Linked DNA regions of Schizosaccharomyces pombe. The gene in region 1 interacts genetically with each later gene. Each region holds a gene or a part of one and is shown in the gene's direction. Other genes may lie near its edges.

Evidence for each region.
Region 2: mutations in pmk1 (region 1) and amo1 together harm fitness less than expected from each alone (positive genetic interaction), as found in Schizosaccharomyces pombe (one large-scale study listed by BioGRID).
Region 3: mutations in pmk1 (region 1) and maa1 together harm fitness more than expected from each alone (negative genetic interaction), as found in Schizosaccharomyces pombe (one large-scale study listed by BioGRID).

The regions. Positions count from the first base shown.
Region 1 is NC_003423.3:728,531-733,807, forward strand, and holds pmk1 (MAP kinase Pmk1), read left to right. Parts: upstream 1-2,285; 5' UTR 2,286-2,329; coding exon 2,330-2,395; exon of another isoform or gene 2,396-2,495; coding exon 2,496-2,675; intron 2,676-2,948; coding exon 2,949-3,020; intron 3,021-3,102; coding exon 3,103-4,053; 3' UTR 4,054-4,422; downstream 4,423-5,277. Other genes in the region: serine/threonine protein kinase Vps15, read left to right, coding at 1-2,116; orm1 (ORMDL family protein), read right to left, coding at 5,145-5,277. UniProt on the Schizosaccharomyces pombe protein: Regulates cell integrity and functions coordinately with the protein kinase C pathway (pck1 and pck2). Involved the regulation of wall architecture, cell shape, cytokinesis in exponential and stationary phase, and metabolism of ions.
Region 2 is NC_003423.3:3,027,865-3,032,055, reverse strand, and holds amo1 (nuclear rim protein Amo1), read left to right. Parts: upstream 1-1,830; 5' UTR 1,831-1,863; coding exon 1,864-3,118; exon of another isoform or gene 3,119-3,178; coding exon 3,179-3,351; 3' UTR 3,352-3,371; downstream 3,372-4,191. Other genes in the region: protein mug98, read left to right, coding at 1-306; SPOM_SPBC15D4.11C (Mam33 family protein), read left to right, coding at 715-1,001, 1,143-1,296, 1,335-1,685; met3 (cystathionine gamma-synthase), read left to right, coding at 3,783-4,191. UniProt on the Schizosaccharomyces pombe protein: Involved in the cell polarity process where it is required for the correct termination of microtubule growth at the cell ends during interphase.
Region 3 is NC_003423.3:1,198,682-1,203,957, forward strand, and holds maa1 (aspartate aminotransferase Maa1), read left to right. Parts: upstream 1-1,877; 5' UTR 1,878-1,979; coding exon 1,980-3,293; 3' UTR 3,294-4,456; downstream 4,457-5,276. Other genes in the region: 19S proteasome base subcomplex ATPase subunit Rpt2, read right to left, coding at 1-560, 696-698; histidine-containing response regulator phosphotransferase Mpr1, read left to right, coding at 5,076-5,276.

The DNA.
Region 1 (5,277 bases):
TTCTGATAATGGAGAGACCATTACTGGTACTCATGATGTATACAGACAAACGGACAATCCTGAAATTAAACTACCTTCAGACACTGCTAGCTCCAAGGTTGACACACACAATCCCACAGTCACTCAACCAACGGACGATACCGGTGGGTTGAATTCTTATAATACTGAGAACCCCTTACTCACAAATAATACTTTGGAGCCTTCCTCTGTAGAAGCAATAGTCTCTTCTAAAGATTCTGACAAACATGCTAAAGAATCGAAGGGGAAAAGCCTCGCACCGTTGATCTCTTCTAGGGTTTCAACGAATGATACAACTAATGTTGCCGGTATTCGAAGCCAAAGATCATTTACTACTCATATCGATTTGAAAAAGCTTACCACGAGGCAAAATGGCGCAAAAAAATCATCGTATACTGGAACTAATCCATGCGTCTTAAATTATTTAAATAAAATTTATGCAGAAGCAGCGGCTTCGACACTTAACGTTGGTGCTGCTGTTTCACCAAGCTGGGCTTCTAATATACCTTTGCGTCGTAGAACAAAGGTGTCTGCGAAGGCTGCGAATAAAATAGTTCAGACTCATGAATGGCATCCAGAAGGATCACGAGTTGCTCAGATATATTTAGGAAGCCTTCTTGATGGAGGTACGAAGAAAGTTTTGGTTAGTCCAGATTCATCTTTTTTCGTTACCTTGGGATCTGACGGTGTTGTAAGAGCATGGCAATTAGTTGAAAGTGTTCGTCATATTTCAACTATGAGATGTGAATGCCGATTAAGTTATGGGCATACGCGACGTAATGGCGAGAGGAATAGATTTTCTGTGGTCAATGGATGCTTTCTAGGTAATACATACGCTTTTGCTTCTGTTACTCAAGATGGCTCTGTGGAAGTTCACAGACTTGACGTTAACAATCAGCGGCATACTCTAATTTCGGCTGGTCGTATTCCCAATTTGGATTTCAGTGATTCTGTAACCTCCATGGAAGCTTCTACATTTCACGACGGGAGTATCCGTCTAGTCGTTGTTACAAAATGGTCACGCATCGTATACTTAGACGTGGGAATGATGAGGGTTTTGTCATCAGACCAATTACCATTACAGTGTGGGTCAGCTACTAGTGTAGTAGTTTCTGAGGGTTGTAATTGGGCTTTAATTGGGACTACCAAAGGATGGCTCTTACTTTGGGACCTCCGCTTTGGGACATTATCATGCTCTTGGCATATGCCAGCCAGGATTGATCAGATGCATCTTCTTTTAGATGTTACCAAAAAACGTAGCAACGTTAATGAGTATACTTCCGGAAATAACAATAGTCCCGTTACCAAGGTTCCAGGTAGCTCAAGTACAAGTTCAAGTAGTACTCAGCCAATTAACTCTACTATTCCCATCAATCCTTTAGAAAATCACGGAATGTTAAACTCGTTTGGAAGCACTACAGTCAGTATCAGTTTTAGCGTCCTTACCAACTTGGATAATAAAGAAGTTAATCTTGAAGATGCAGTTCCAGCGAGTCACAGATCCGCTTCAGGCATAGTAAATTTTGACGTTGAAAAAGGGAAAACCGAAGAGGTTTTCTTAGAAAACTGGAATTCTTCACTCACCAGTCCGATTCCGGTATCTGTTGGAATTGATGCTTTTAATGAAAAAAAAAAGTTTGATATAGATTCTGGCAATGACATGGGATTAAGAGATTTGAATACCAAATTCGACTCTCCTTGGCCTTGTATATCTAGTCCAATCTATAGGTACAGAGGTCCGTCTGCAGGTTCTGTCGAACGAGAGCCACTTTTTCTCATTGCCGCTTCTGGAAGCCCTCATGCGTTTATTTGGAATCCCCACAATGTCTCTGCTAGTTCGTCGGTGACCAACGACTCCGAGAGTTCAAAACTATCTTTAATACATAACAAACCTCCTATCTACCAAAAAGTCTCTGAACAACAGAATGTACGCCCAAAGTCTTCGGGAGTGTCAAGGCCTCTTCTATTCCTTCAACAGCAAAAGAATCTACCTAGCGAAAATCGTCTGCACCCCATCGTTGACATGGCCTTCTTGTACCAACCGTACGCTATAGTGCTTATTGTTGACGCTTTTGGTAGTCTTGAACTCTGGACCTAGTTTCTTTTAGTATTCCTCATATATTTATTAGATTTGTATGCATATTCTTTAATACCATAAATTCCATCTGATAGTCTTCAAATCTAACCGACTTGCATTCAAATAGTGAAATATAAGGCATCGTTAATCACTACAAGTGATGTACTGTAGTTTTTTCCACATCCCTTTTGCCAAACAGCTAAAAATTCAAGTTGCATGCTATAAGTCGCAAGGATGGACCGTCGACATCGTGTTTACCGTGTGTTTAACCAGGAGATGTATGTCGAGCCTAATTTTAAGGTATGAGATATTTGGGTAACTGCTGCATTTGCAAAACATTTTGTTTACTTGACAGAAAATCGCATCTGCTTGAACTTTTAGGAAAACTAACATAGTTTAGGTAGTGAAGGAGTTGGGTCAAGGCGCTTACGGCATTGTTTGTGCAGCAAGAAACGTGGCTAGCAAAGATCAAGAGGCTGTAGCCATAAAAAAAATTACGAATGTGTTTTCTAAATCCATTCTTACAAAAAGAGCTTTGAGAGAGATAAAACTGCTGATTCATTTTCGTAATCATCGTAACGTAAGTCTTTTATGCAAAAACGGCTTCCTGTGATTGATTACTCATCATCACCGGGATGTATTAACGAGGTGCATTTTGATGAAAATGCAAATTTTTATACAATGAAAAGTCTTCTATGAGAAATGAGTTCTAATCATCCTTGAAAAGTATTTCCTTTATAAATCTTGATATAATGTTTGGAATTCGGTTGATTAAAAAATTTGAACTGCTCATTGTCTTACATTTGCATAGTGATGTCTTTCCTATTTTTTATAAACTTTACTAACATGGTAGATTACTTGCATTTACGATCTCGACATTATAAATCCATACAATTTTAATGAAGTTTACATTTACGAAGAGTTGGTATGTTACGCGATGATCCACATATGGTGTCTGTTTTAGTCACGGAAATATTTGTATAATTACTTACTAACTATTATAATAGATGGAGGCCGATTTGAATGCTATTATTAAATCCGGTCAGCCATTAACGGATGCGCATTTTCAATCATTCATTTACCAGATACTTTGTGGTTTAAAGTATATTCATTCTGCCAACGTTATTCATCGTGACTTAAAGCCAGGTAATCTTTTAGTTAACGCTGATTGTGAGCTGAAAATTTGCGATTTTGGCCTCGCTCGCGGATGTTCTGAAAATCCAGAAGAAAATCCTGGTTTTATGACGGAGTATGTGGCAACGCGCTGGTACAGAGCTCCGGAAATTATGCTTTCGTTCAGCAGCTATCATAAAGGTATTGATGTTTGGAGTGTTGGTTGCATTTTGGCAGAGCTATTAGGTGGAACCCCTTTGTTTAAGGGAAAAGATTTTGTTCATCAGTTAAATTTAATTTTGCATCAACTTGGCACACCTGATGAGGAAACCCTGTCTCATATAAGCAGTTCCCGTGCACAGGAGTATGTTCGAAGCTTGCCAAAGCAAAGACCTATTCCTTTTGAAACCAATTTTCCTAAAGCCAATCCTTTGGCTCTTGACCTGCTTGCTAAGCTCTTGGCTTTCGACCCCAACAGACGTATTTCGGTTGACGATGCTTTAGAACATCCCTATTTAGCTGTTTGGCATGATCCCTCTGACGAACCTGTGTGTGATTCCGTCTTTGATTTCAGCTTTGAATACATTGAGGATGCAAATGAGTTACGCCGTGTCATTTTAGATGAAGTTTTAAACTTCCGTCAGAAAGTCCGACGCCGCTCTCATCCAACAAACCCAACAGTCAACATCCCGCAACCAGCCCAAACCGTTCCATCTAATGACAATGGTTCTTTCAATGTTAGTAGCTCTTCATCCTCTCAAACCTCTAACAAAAAGCGCCATGATCATTCTTATAATGAAACTGCTGCTATAGACCATAAGTCTGATGATAATCGCCATAACTAATACATTGGCAGCAGCTGGTTTTATTGAGCCTTTTTACGGTAACATTTGCATACAAATCATTCATTGCGTTTTCTCATTTTTACATAAATTAGCTATTGCTATCTTTTGAGCTTTGCTGGCTACTGTCGAATCTCTGTTTGCTCGTTTAATTTCCATAAAAAATACTCATTTGCATTAGTCCTTCATTTACTGTTTTGCATATAATATTTGGCGATCTTTGTGCTCCCTTTTCTTGCACGCTTTATAGTCTCACAGCTTGAAACATTTTGTTATACATACATGCATGCATATACACCCGTACTACAACTAGAAAAATATATAAATAGAACAGCTAATTACTTAAAAATATTACTTTTACTAGTGAACGAGTATATCTGTGGTAGAGTAATTTCCTTTATTAGGGAACATCCCAATGAAATCACAAAACTAACTAACCAAGACAAAATAGATGAATAAATACATCAGTCATGAATTTGTATCCTGCAACAATTAAACAACATTCGTGCACAAGGATAGCTCTCTTCAAGTAGAAGCGTCTTATAATGAAATGCAAAGCGGTCGAATATGAAATTATGTGCATATTTTTATAAATCAGAAAAAATATGTAAGATGATATTCGAGACGCGAATGAAGTTTTACAATAGAAAGGGAAAGCCTTTACAAATACCTGCAAAAAAGGTCGTACAGATTCCGTTGTTTTTTGGGAAAGCAAATCATGATGCGCAAATCCTATATAAAAGGAACAGTTTTTTTTAGGAGAAAATTTTGGCAATTGCCGCTATGGCATCCATTACTAGCAATGAAATAAAGCAGAAGGCGGGCGACCTTGATTCCAGTAAAGGCTAACGGGAAAAATAAAAGGGAAAAACGACGTCACAAATAAGTGAACAAAAAGTCATTAATGGTTGGGTTTCTAAAGTACCGGGAAATAAATGATTAGTTTCATCTTTGACAAAATTAGTAACAAAGCTGCAATAGACTGTTTATATTTTTGAGAGTGAAGGAGTTTCAAGCGGAATAAAACAGCCTGCTCAAAGACAAAGATAGACACCATGATTATAAGGTGATGAATTCAATATGGCACAGTGATCCTAACGAGGAATACTGTCATTATCATCATCACGGAGGGAAAGTTTTTGAATACCAAAAATTCTCTTCCGGTGAACGGCAGGCAGTTTAGGGATTAAAACCATAAACAGGGCCCAAATGTTGACCAAGAACATC
Region 2 (4,191 bases), 2.3 Mb from region 1:
GCGCTTAAAGCCCGAGAAGAATACCTCCGAAAAGAACTTCCTTTGAAAGTTCGAGCAAATACTTCTCGCATGAACCCCGGAGCTAAAACTTGGATTCCACAAATTAATCACCGAAAAAGTAGAAATCATTATAATCGTAAAGAAACATGCCAGTTTCCCCCTCTATACAATGTTGAAGCTAAAATAAACCATTCATATTCTGCGTTTTATCGTCCGTTTACCAAACGTGAGAATGGTTTGTGGTATGCGAATCCGTATTATATGCAGCATGGTCCAAACGGAAATTACCATCACGTTTATTATTAGTCATGTTTTCAAAATTTTGTGCCAATTTTTTCAATTTCATTCAAAAACCGCATCTTCATCATTATGGTTATAATCGACGCCGTTAAAAAACCAGGAAAAAGAATTTCATAGTCTTAATTTCTTTATTTTTTTCTTTAATCAGATGTCTACAATAATGATTTTTCCATTAATTATTTTCTTCATCCATTGCTATGGTATACAAGCACTTTAGTGAAAACCGCTGTATTACTTTAAAGTCACTGCTTTGCGTACTTCTCATAAGGAAGCAAATTCAGTTAAAGTGCTTATTGTCATATGCCCCATTGCATTAAATATTTATAATCTGTACAATTCATCAATCCATTGAAGAAGCAAATCTTTGTTGGACGGCTTGTAACAATTCTATTCTTCAGCTTATTGCACTTCAAAATGCTCAGAAAAGCGATCTCTACAGCACGAAACTTTAAATATCCTTTATTTAATTGCGAAAGGAGGTTTTCTTACTTTGATATGTTTCGTAGTAAACGAAAATTTACAAGTGGTATCCTAACGGAGCAACTAGCGTTGAAATTAGATTCTGAACTGGGTTACGTGAAACAGGTTCTTGATGAGACATTACCTAAAAAAGGATACGAAAAGGCTCTTCATTCTTTTATAATCCATGAAGATCCTTCGCTTAACTACATTTCAGCTTTAAAAGAAACGGCAAAGGAAAGGTAAGCTATTTTTCCTCAATTGTTTGTTGAATTCAACGATGTGATTTCATGTCTATGCGTTGGCTAATATACAACGTTTAAGATTATGCTTTCAGCAGAGCCTTTAAATTTCTTTCGATATAATAGTACTAACGTAGCTAGAATACGCGTTACTGTTCCCGTATATAGCTCTCGTAAAAGTTACGTCCAAACAAAGCCGATAACGCATAGTGCTGAAAATGAAAATGGTAACGAAACATCTGATGAACTAGTGTTCTTTCAGCATTCAATTCCTGCTTATGTCCAACTCACTAACGTAAGATCTTAACATGTTATTATAACTTACAATTATAGAACCATGGCACAATTTTGTGTGCTTTAATACTTTGTAAGGGCATGCTTCATTTTGATAGCATTTCTTTTCAATCACCTCAAAACTCTCAAGCGTTCTCATCTGACTTGAGGTTAATTTTACAAAAATCACAGAAGTACACTGGCAGAAAAACAAAGCACGTTCCAGCTTCTATCAAGTCAAGTTTACTTGAATTCTTGGATGAACAAGGAATTACAGTAAAATTCATGAAGGCGCTAATATCTCGCAGTTGGCGAAAAGAAAATGTCTCCTATAAGCATTGGATTCATAATATTATTGGATTTATTTTACCTTCTGAATCATCAACAACTAAAAAATCAGACTCCCAATGATGGTATAATTGTTCTTTGAATTCCTTTACTTTATGATTAATTGGAGCAATAACGCTACACCACACTACGATTCCAAATGGGACGCCCACTCTAAAAATAAGAAAATTTGGAGTATAACATATGATTATGATACATTTTTATACTTATCTTTAGCATATCATTTCAACTATTCAACAACATGGTCGTTTGTAAGTATTTCCTTCAAAATCGGTGCAGGTATGGTACCAATTGTAAAAATCAACATACGGTACCTTCTAATGGACAAAATGCATTTTCTAAGGTTAATGTCTTTCGTCCAGAGAATGGACGACCTCCAATATGGGTACAAAGGCGTTTGAAGAGAAGCGATTTAGATAATTTGCTTCCCAATAGAAGAATGAAGGATATTAACGACGATCTTAAAAACGCAAAACCACAATGGCCTTTTACAGGTTATTCAGTAGTTGAGAATCTACCATCAATTTATGAAGGCGATGTTTCGCCTGAAGAATTGCGGTGGTGGGCATATCAGGCTAAAGCGACAAACAATATGCAAGCATATGAACAACGCCAGAAACAGTTGATGGATGATGTAGAAGCAAAAGCAGCAGCCGTTAAACGGTCGCCTGCTGCTGCTTTCGATGAAATGAGAAATAAACTCGTCGGAAAGACAAATTATAAGTCAATTTTTGATAAGTCTACTAGCAATTCAACGGTTACGTCTAATCAGTTCAACAAGCCAACTCAAAATAGTCCTTTCAATTCTTTTTCAAATAACAATAATTCTTTCAATAACAATCAGCAAGCAAACGATATTTTTGGCGCCCCTACGACTTCTGCATTTACATCGCAATTAAATGCGTCTCCATTTTCTCAAAATACATCCTCAAATTCATTTACGGGAAGTAATCCAGTCCAAAACAACCCATCTTCTTTTGGTTCGTCTAGTTTTGGTTCGGCAACCTCAGGGCCATCAGCATTTGGGGGAATATCTCAGCCAAATTCGTCATTTGTTAATTCCGGACAAGGGATTCCTAACTCATCATTCTCCTCGTTTTCACAAGTTGCTTCTGGGTTTTCACAAAGTCAAAATGTGAATGATCCAAGTTCGATTTTCGGTCCTACTGTTGCCAGCGGTTTTGGAATACAGAATCAGCCTCAGCAATCAGCTTTTCAAAATTTGAATACTCAATTCTCGCTTCCTAATAATTCACAACCAGTTTTTGGTCATACATCTTTAACACAACCAGTGAACCCAAATGGTTTTACTGTTCAGCCCCCTGCTACTTTTATGCAACAACCTCAAGGCCCTTTTGTTCCGCCTAATACTACTTTTGAATCTCCATTTGCCAATGTAACCTCTAAAATATCCGCTTCAGGATTTTCTAACGATAATCCTGCTAACAAAAATATAATCCAAACTCCTATGTTTGGATCTTCTAACACAATTGACGGTAAGTTTTTTTACTTTGTATCCTTGCTAGTATACGAATATGACTAACGATCATCGACAGGTCCGATTAATCCAATAGGTGCTTCTTCTATCCAAACTTTGGATGATCAAGTAGAAATGAGTAATTCCAATCAAAATCTCGCATTTCCCCCAGAAATGATTCAGCAATTTGAAGCTCAAGATTTCATTCCCGGAAAAGTTCCAACAACAGCCCCTCCACCACAATTTTGTTAATTATTTTATTAAAATAGTTATTCAACGTAAGTTTTTTCGGGGATTTTTGATTAGTATTAAACTTTGTTCAAATTTCATATTCGATATTAGGTTGTAAATATATATATATATATATATATGTAATTTCAATTACGAGTATTAGACAAAGTGTGATGCTTTCCTACACGGCTATCTGATAAAGTTGTACCTAACTCGATTTATGTATCATTGTAAAATTCTAGAAAGAAAACAGTACTATTTTTTGTTATTAATTCATGAATCAAACTGATAGCTGATTTGATATAGAGGACAGAACTGTCCTGCACGCCTATTGGGTCTAAAGAGATGGTTGTCCCAATTCCACACACAATTCACTCCAGATTTTTGCAAGAACCCAAAACTTTTGTTTATGGCTATTTATATATAAATCTCAATTTTATTTAATTCTTTAAATGTCTGCAAATATTTCTTACCTAGTCAATCCACCTACAGAGGTCGGTTCATCAATTCCAGCTGATACTGAACATGCCATTTCAGTTACTTTACCTACATGGAAATCCAATGTTGGATATGAAGAGGGAGATCCTAATGTAACTACTAAAATGAAGTCAGGATATCCGAGGTTCTTTATAAGCGCACACGTCAAGGATTGCATTAGCATCATAAAGAAATTTCCAGAGATTGAGATTTTGAAGCTAAAGGACTACGATATGTTTTTGTATCCTTCATTATCCGTTGCTAAGCAAAGTGCAGCTTTTCTTGAAAGTAAAGGACCTATAGACTCTGCGGAAGTCATTATTTATGATGCCACGAAGGGACTGCGAAAACATCTTGATTCAATTGACCGAAATCGCAAATATA
Region 3 (5,276 bases), 470 kb from region 1:
TCTGTAGGTGCTTTGTCGAGTTTCATAACATTAATCATTGGATCGGTATCATCAAGAAGTAAGCCTACTATACTCATGGCTTTGTGATGGAGAAGTACACTGCAACCAGGCTCTAACATGTCTTTATCGACAAATGACATGATGGAAACATAGTACTCTGGTCCAGCTGTGGAAACGATGGCATGATCGTCGTCTATAATTTCCTCTAAAGTTCCTACAGACATTGGAGTACCACGAATTTCATCTACACGATTGCGTTCTTCCTGAGTTCGTTCATCCTGTGGCTTAAGACGTTCCTGGTTTTGCACATACTCTTCTTCCATAAGCAAATGATCGTGGATTCTTTGCATTTTTAACAACCTTAAACGACAACGAGTCGTTGGGATAACAGTAGGTAGTTTTGCCGATGCATCAGGACCACTTTGAGCCTTCTTCTTACGACGACCAGTTCGAGTGGGAACTGGAGGTTCGTATTTGGGCTTATCTTTCTTTTGGTCTTTTTTATTGTCGCCGTTGGCACCATCGCCGAAATTAGAAAAATTCCCAGATTGTGCTTGTCCCTATAGGAGAGTTAGGATTAAATATTAAAACATGAAAAGAATGTGATAGAGTGAAAACAAGACTATTCAGCGATAGATGAAAAAATTACATTTAATTCAGTCTTGTTTTCAGCCTCAAAATACTCAAATACTTACCATTTTTTGGATCGATACTCTCAGTGAAAGTGATCTGGTATTGGTAATATCTAGCTTCACTCGTTTTCCACCACGACACTATGCAAGCAACCGGTGGCTCAAGGCACTCTAACATATTGCGTAACATAGTATTGCGATATTGTAATTTTTGAATAGTGTATGGTAAAAACACATCCTAATTTTCTTGAGTTGTTTACATTTCGAACACGAAAATGTATCTACTGTTACCAACGCGTGAATCAACCATTCCATTTCAAGAGACCTCACTTTAAGTAAATTTTCCTCAATATAAAGTGTTGTAGAAGTAATAATGGTTTAAAAAAGGTTAAACAATTGCCATCGATTTTTATTAAAAGGAGTACGGATCTCTTTTCGTGCATTCGTCGTGTTTCTTGTTAGAACATAGACTTTGCTAAAGTGATTTAACCTTGCATCTATCTTTTACTTAGGAATCATTGCTAAAGAATATTTATCCCAATTCAAACAACACACATTCCTCTCAAAATTACATAGCATAAAATTATATAAGCTATAAAGTATTTTACTAGGTGTCTACGGCCATACCTAGGCGAAAACACCAGTTCCCGTCCGATCACTGCAGTTAAGCGTCTGAGGGCCTCGTTAGTACTATGGTTGGAGACAACATGGGAATCCGGGGTGCTGTAGGCTTCATTTCGTTTTTTTTCTTAATAAAAGTCCTCCATATGAATAGAATTATTGTTCTATAACTTACTTCTGCAACCTTTTACAGCAACAACAGTGAAAGCTATAGAAGCAGCTACTAAAGACAGTCTGATGACTTAAACAGTGTTCGAAGGTCTAAATTGACTTATTCAAGTTATGATTATTGAATGACTTCTTGTTATTGAAAAATATTTTCTACAAGTCTAACAGCTATTTTACAATTTTTATTGTTGTTAATGTTAATTTATTAACTACCTTAATTACTTACGATAAATATTGGTAATTAACGAGTTACTGTTTACTAGTTGCTAAACTACGTTGCGATTACAAAACTATAGCTTTCGCTATGCTACTTTAATGTTTTTTCGGAACAGCTCTACAAGTGAACGATAACGAAAGAAACAATAAACGTCGTTATCTAATTTTGACATCTTACAGCTTCGGATTATGTTATCGATCGGTAAGCAGATACATTGAACCACGTGGTTTTCTCATGATAAGAACGTATATATATTAGCAGGATTCGATTGATTGCGAGCCTGTGAAGAGCCTTTAACCAATCTCCCAGAAATAACTTTGGGAAGAATATTGATTTCGACGATGTTGGCCAGGAATTTGCGTTGTTTGCATCCAAATACATTTGCATCGTTAAAAACCAACGTTTCCTACCATGGAGTAAAATGCTTGGCAAGTCAGAGCAAGCGTGGATTCAAGGTTTGGGCAGATGTACCTATGGGACCACCGGATCCCATCTTTGGTATTACAGAGGCCTATAAAAAGGATGGAGATGTTAAGAAAATGAACTTGGGTGCTGGTACATATCGTGATGATGCCGGAAAGCCTTATGTTCTGCCCAGTGTTCGTCAGGCAGAAACTGAGCTGTTGAGTCAGAAACTCGACAAAGAATATGCACCCATCACAGGAATTCCCAGTTTCCGTGTGCAAGCAACAAAATTGGCTTATGGCGATGTTTACGAGTCTATAAAGGATAGGCTGGTTTCTGCTCAATCCATTAGTGGTACCGGTGCCTTGTGTATAGCAGCTAATTTCCTTGCTTCATTTTATCCATCAAAGACTATTTACGTATCTGACCCTACTTGGGGAAATCACAAGAATGTATTTTCTCGAGCTGGCTTGACCGTTAAGTCCTACAAGTATTATGATCCTGCTACTCGTGGGTTGGACATTAAAGGCATGTTGTCCGATTTAACTTCAGCTCCTGATGGCTCTATTATATTATTGCATGCTTGTGCTCACAATCCAACTGGTGTAGATCCTACGAAAGCTCAGTGGGATGATATCCTCAAAACAATGCAAAAGAAAAACCATTTTGCTCTTTTAGACATGGCTTACCAAGGATTTGCCAGTGGTGATTTTGCTCGTGATGCTTATGCCACTCGTCTGTTCGCCTCCAGCAATGTCCCCATGTTACTCTGCCAATCCTTTGCTAAAAACATGGGTCTATATGGTGAACGTGCTGGCTGCTTTAGCATTTTAGCCAACGATGCTGAGGAAGCCGCTCGTATCGAAAGCCAAACTAAGATTCTCATTCGTGCTTTGTATTCCAACCCTCCCGTCAATGGGGCCAGAATTGCCAACCATATATTGAGCAACCCTGCACTTCGTGAACAGTGGGCTGGTGAAGTTGTAGGCATGTCCGAACGTCTTAAGAGTATGCGTAAGGCTCTTCGCAACATCCTTGAAAAGGACCTTAAGAATAAACACAGCTGGAAGCATATCACTGACCAAATTGGTATGTTTTGTTATACTGGTTTAAATCCCCAGCAAGTTGATGTTTTGGCTAAACAGTATCACATTTACCTCACTAAGAATGGTCGTATTAGCATCTCCGGTCTCAACACTTCCAATGTAAGATACTTTGCCGAAGCTATCAATGCCGTTACTTCGAATTAGTCGGTGGTGAAATTGAAGTGAAAAGATTTTGGTTTATTATATAGACAGATGGATTTTTGATTGATTCTTTGTTCTGAATCTTTTTTGTTCTTCTTTCTGTTTTTATTTTATTATACATACATATAGACAGACTCAAACACACATATACATATACATATATTTGTATACATTTAATTTTTTTTCCCTTTTCATTTCTCCGAAACCATGAGAAGACGTATTTAGTAACCTAATTGTCTCGGCTTATTTTTTTTTCCTTATACTTTCGCTTTGAGGTGAATAACTACAGTTTTGCTTCCAAATAGATGGCATGGTCTGTTTTTAAATGAATGGATTTTGGATCTAAAAATTGACTAAATATTGATTCGTTTTCGAAATAGTATGCTTTTCGTTTGTCTATCTTCATTTATTTCCATACTTTGTTTCTGTAGATGTTTGTCTAGTAGTTCACTTACTTCATACTTTAGATTGCCTCTAGTTAACCCAAAATTTGGCACATTTTACTATCCTCTCTCATATACATATTAAATCCCACTTTTTCGTTGGAAAACTATCAATTATCTTTCCCATTGCATTTGTCATATGTTGGGATTTCCCAAGTTCATCAAACTTCTGAGATGTACGAAATAAGTGAGGTAGGAATGAAATTTGTGCAAAGCTTTTAATTATTTCTAAAAATAGGAGAATATCGCTGGAAATTGGCACCTTTCCAATGACTAGGATAGGCCCTATGTAGTGATATCGAAATAAATATCTGCAAAAAGAGTATCATTCTTCCCTCCCAATGTGCAATGCTACAGCCATCAGGAATTGCTGCGCTTATTAGGAAATGGCCGAAAATGCCAAAGATGGTGGGAAACTGTTCTTCCATCTCCAGTTCGTCTTTTTTTTCTACACTGACTGATATGGAGGAATCATTGAAATTCGGGGTATAGTGAGACGTAGCGTCATTATATTAATATACTTTATCGTTTTGGGTGGTTGTGTATCGGTACATTTGACTGCTTTATTACGTTGCATGGCGTCACTCCCAAGTGTGAGTTTTGCAAACAATTCTTTCGCGGCATTTACCTACTTTCCGTCTCCCATTTACTACATTAGAATATCTAAAAATCAGACATAAGCACAGGCAAAACCATAGTCTCTACTCTCTGCCTTACCCTTGTTGCATTTGAACTTAATTATAGAGAGAGCACTTAACAATCTTGTGAGGATTGGTTTTCTGTCTTTTGAATTGATACGAAAACAATAATATCGCCTTTTTAGTAGAGCTTGATAATTTTAGAACTTAGCAGAAGCTGAAGGCAAGTTTGTGTGGCGTCTAAAACTTGGCATCAAAGTTTCGAACACGCAAAAAAAGCTCCAAAACCGTATTGACTCTTTTCCATTAGAATCGTTGTTGAAGGAGATTTATCCACAAATCCTATTTAGTATTTGTGGGTTGTGTGGTAAAGCCATTTTCTTCTTTTGGTAATAGCCCTTGTACTGTACTACAGGTTAGTGAAACTGTTGATTATTTCATTTTGCTGGCATACCACACATTATTTTTATAATTTGTTTGTGTTGTCGACGCCTCTTTCAATAACTCACATTTCCTCGCTTTAATTTCAAATCGTTGTTAAAAAAGGAAAGTCTTAAATCTGATACAATATTCTGTATCGATTGCTACATTTTACTGTTTGCAAAGTAATACTGCTGATAAAATTTAGCTGAGCTTCTCCATTCGCTCTTACTTTAAACCCTTTTCTTTTTTTTTTGGATTTTCTTTTAATTATTTTCTAAAAAATGAGTGTATATCGTGATAACATGTATATGAAATACGACCGAAACTTCGAAAATCGTGTCGCCCGAAGAAATGGACAGGCGCGTAACGCTAGTCTTGCTAAGACTCTTCACGATTCTGGCATAGCTGAACGTGCACGCTCTCCTTCAGGGTCAGCGATCCCCCATGCTTATCGGGTTATGAATGGTTCTGGAGCGAATGAC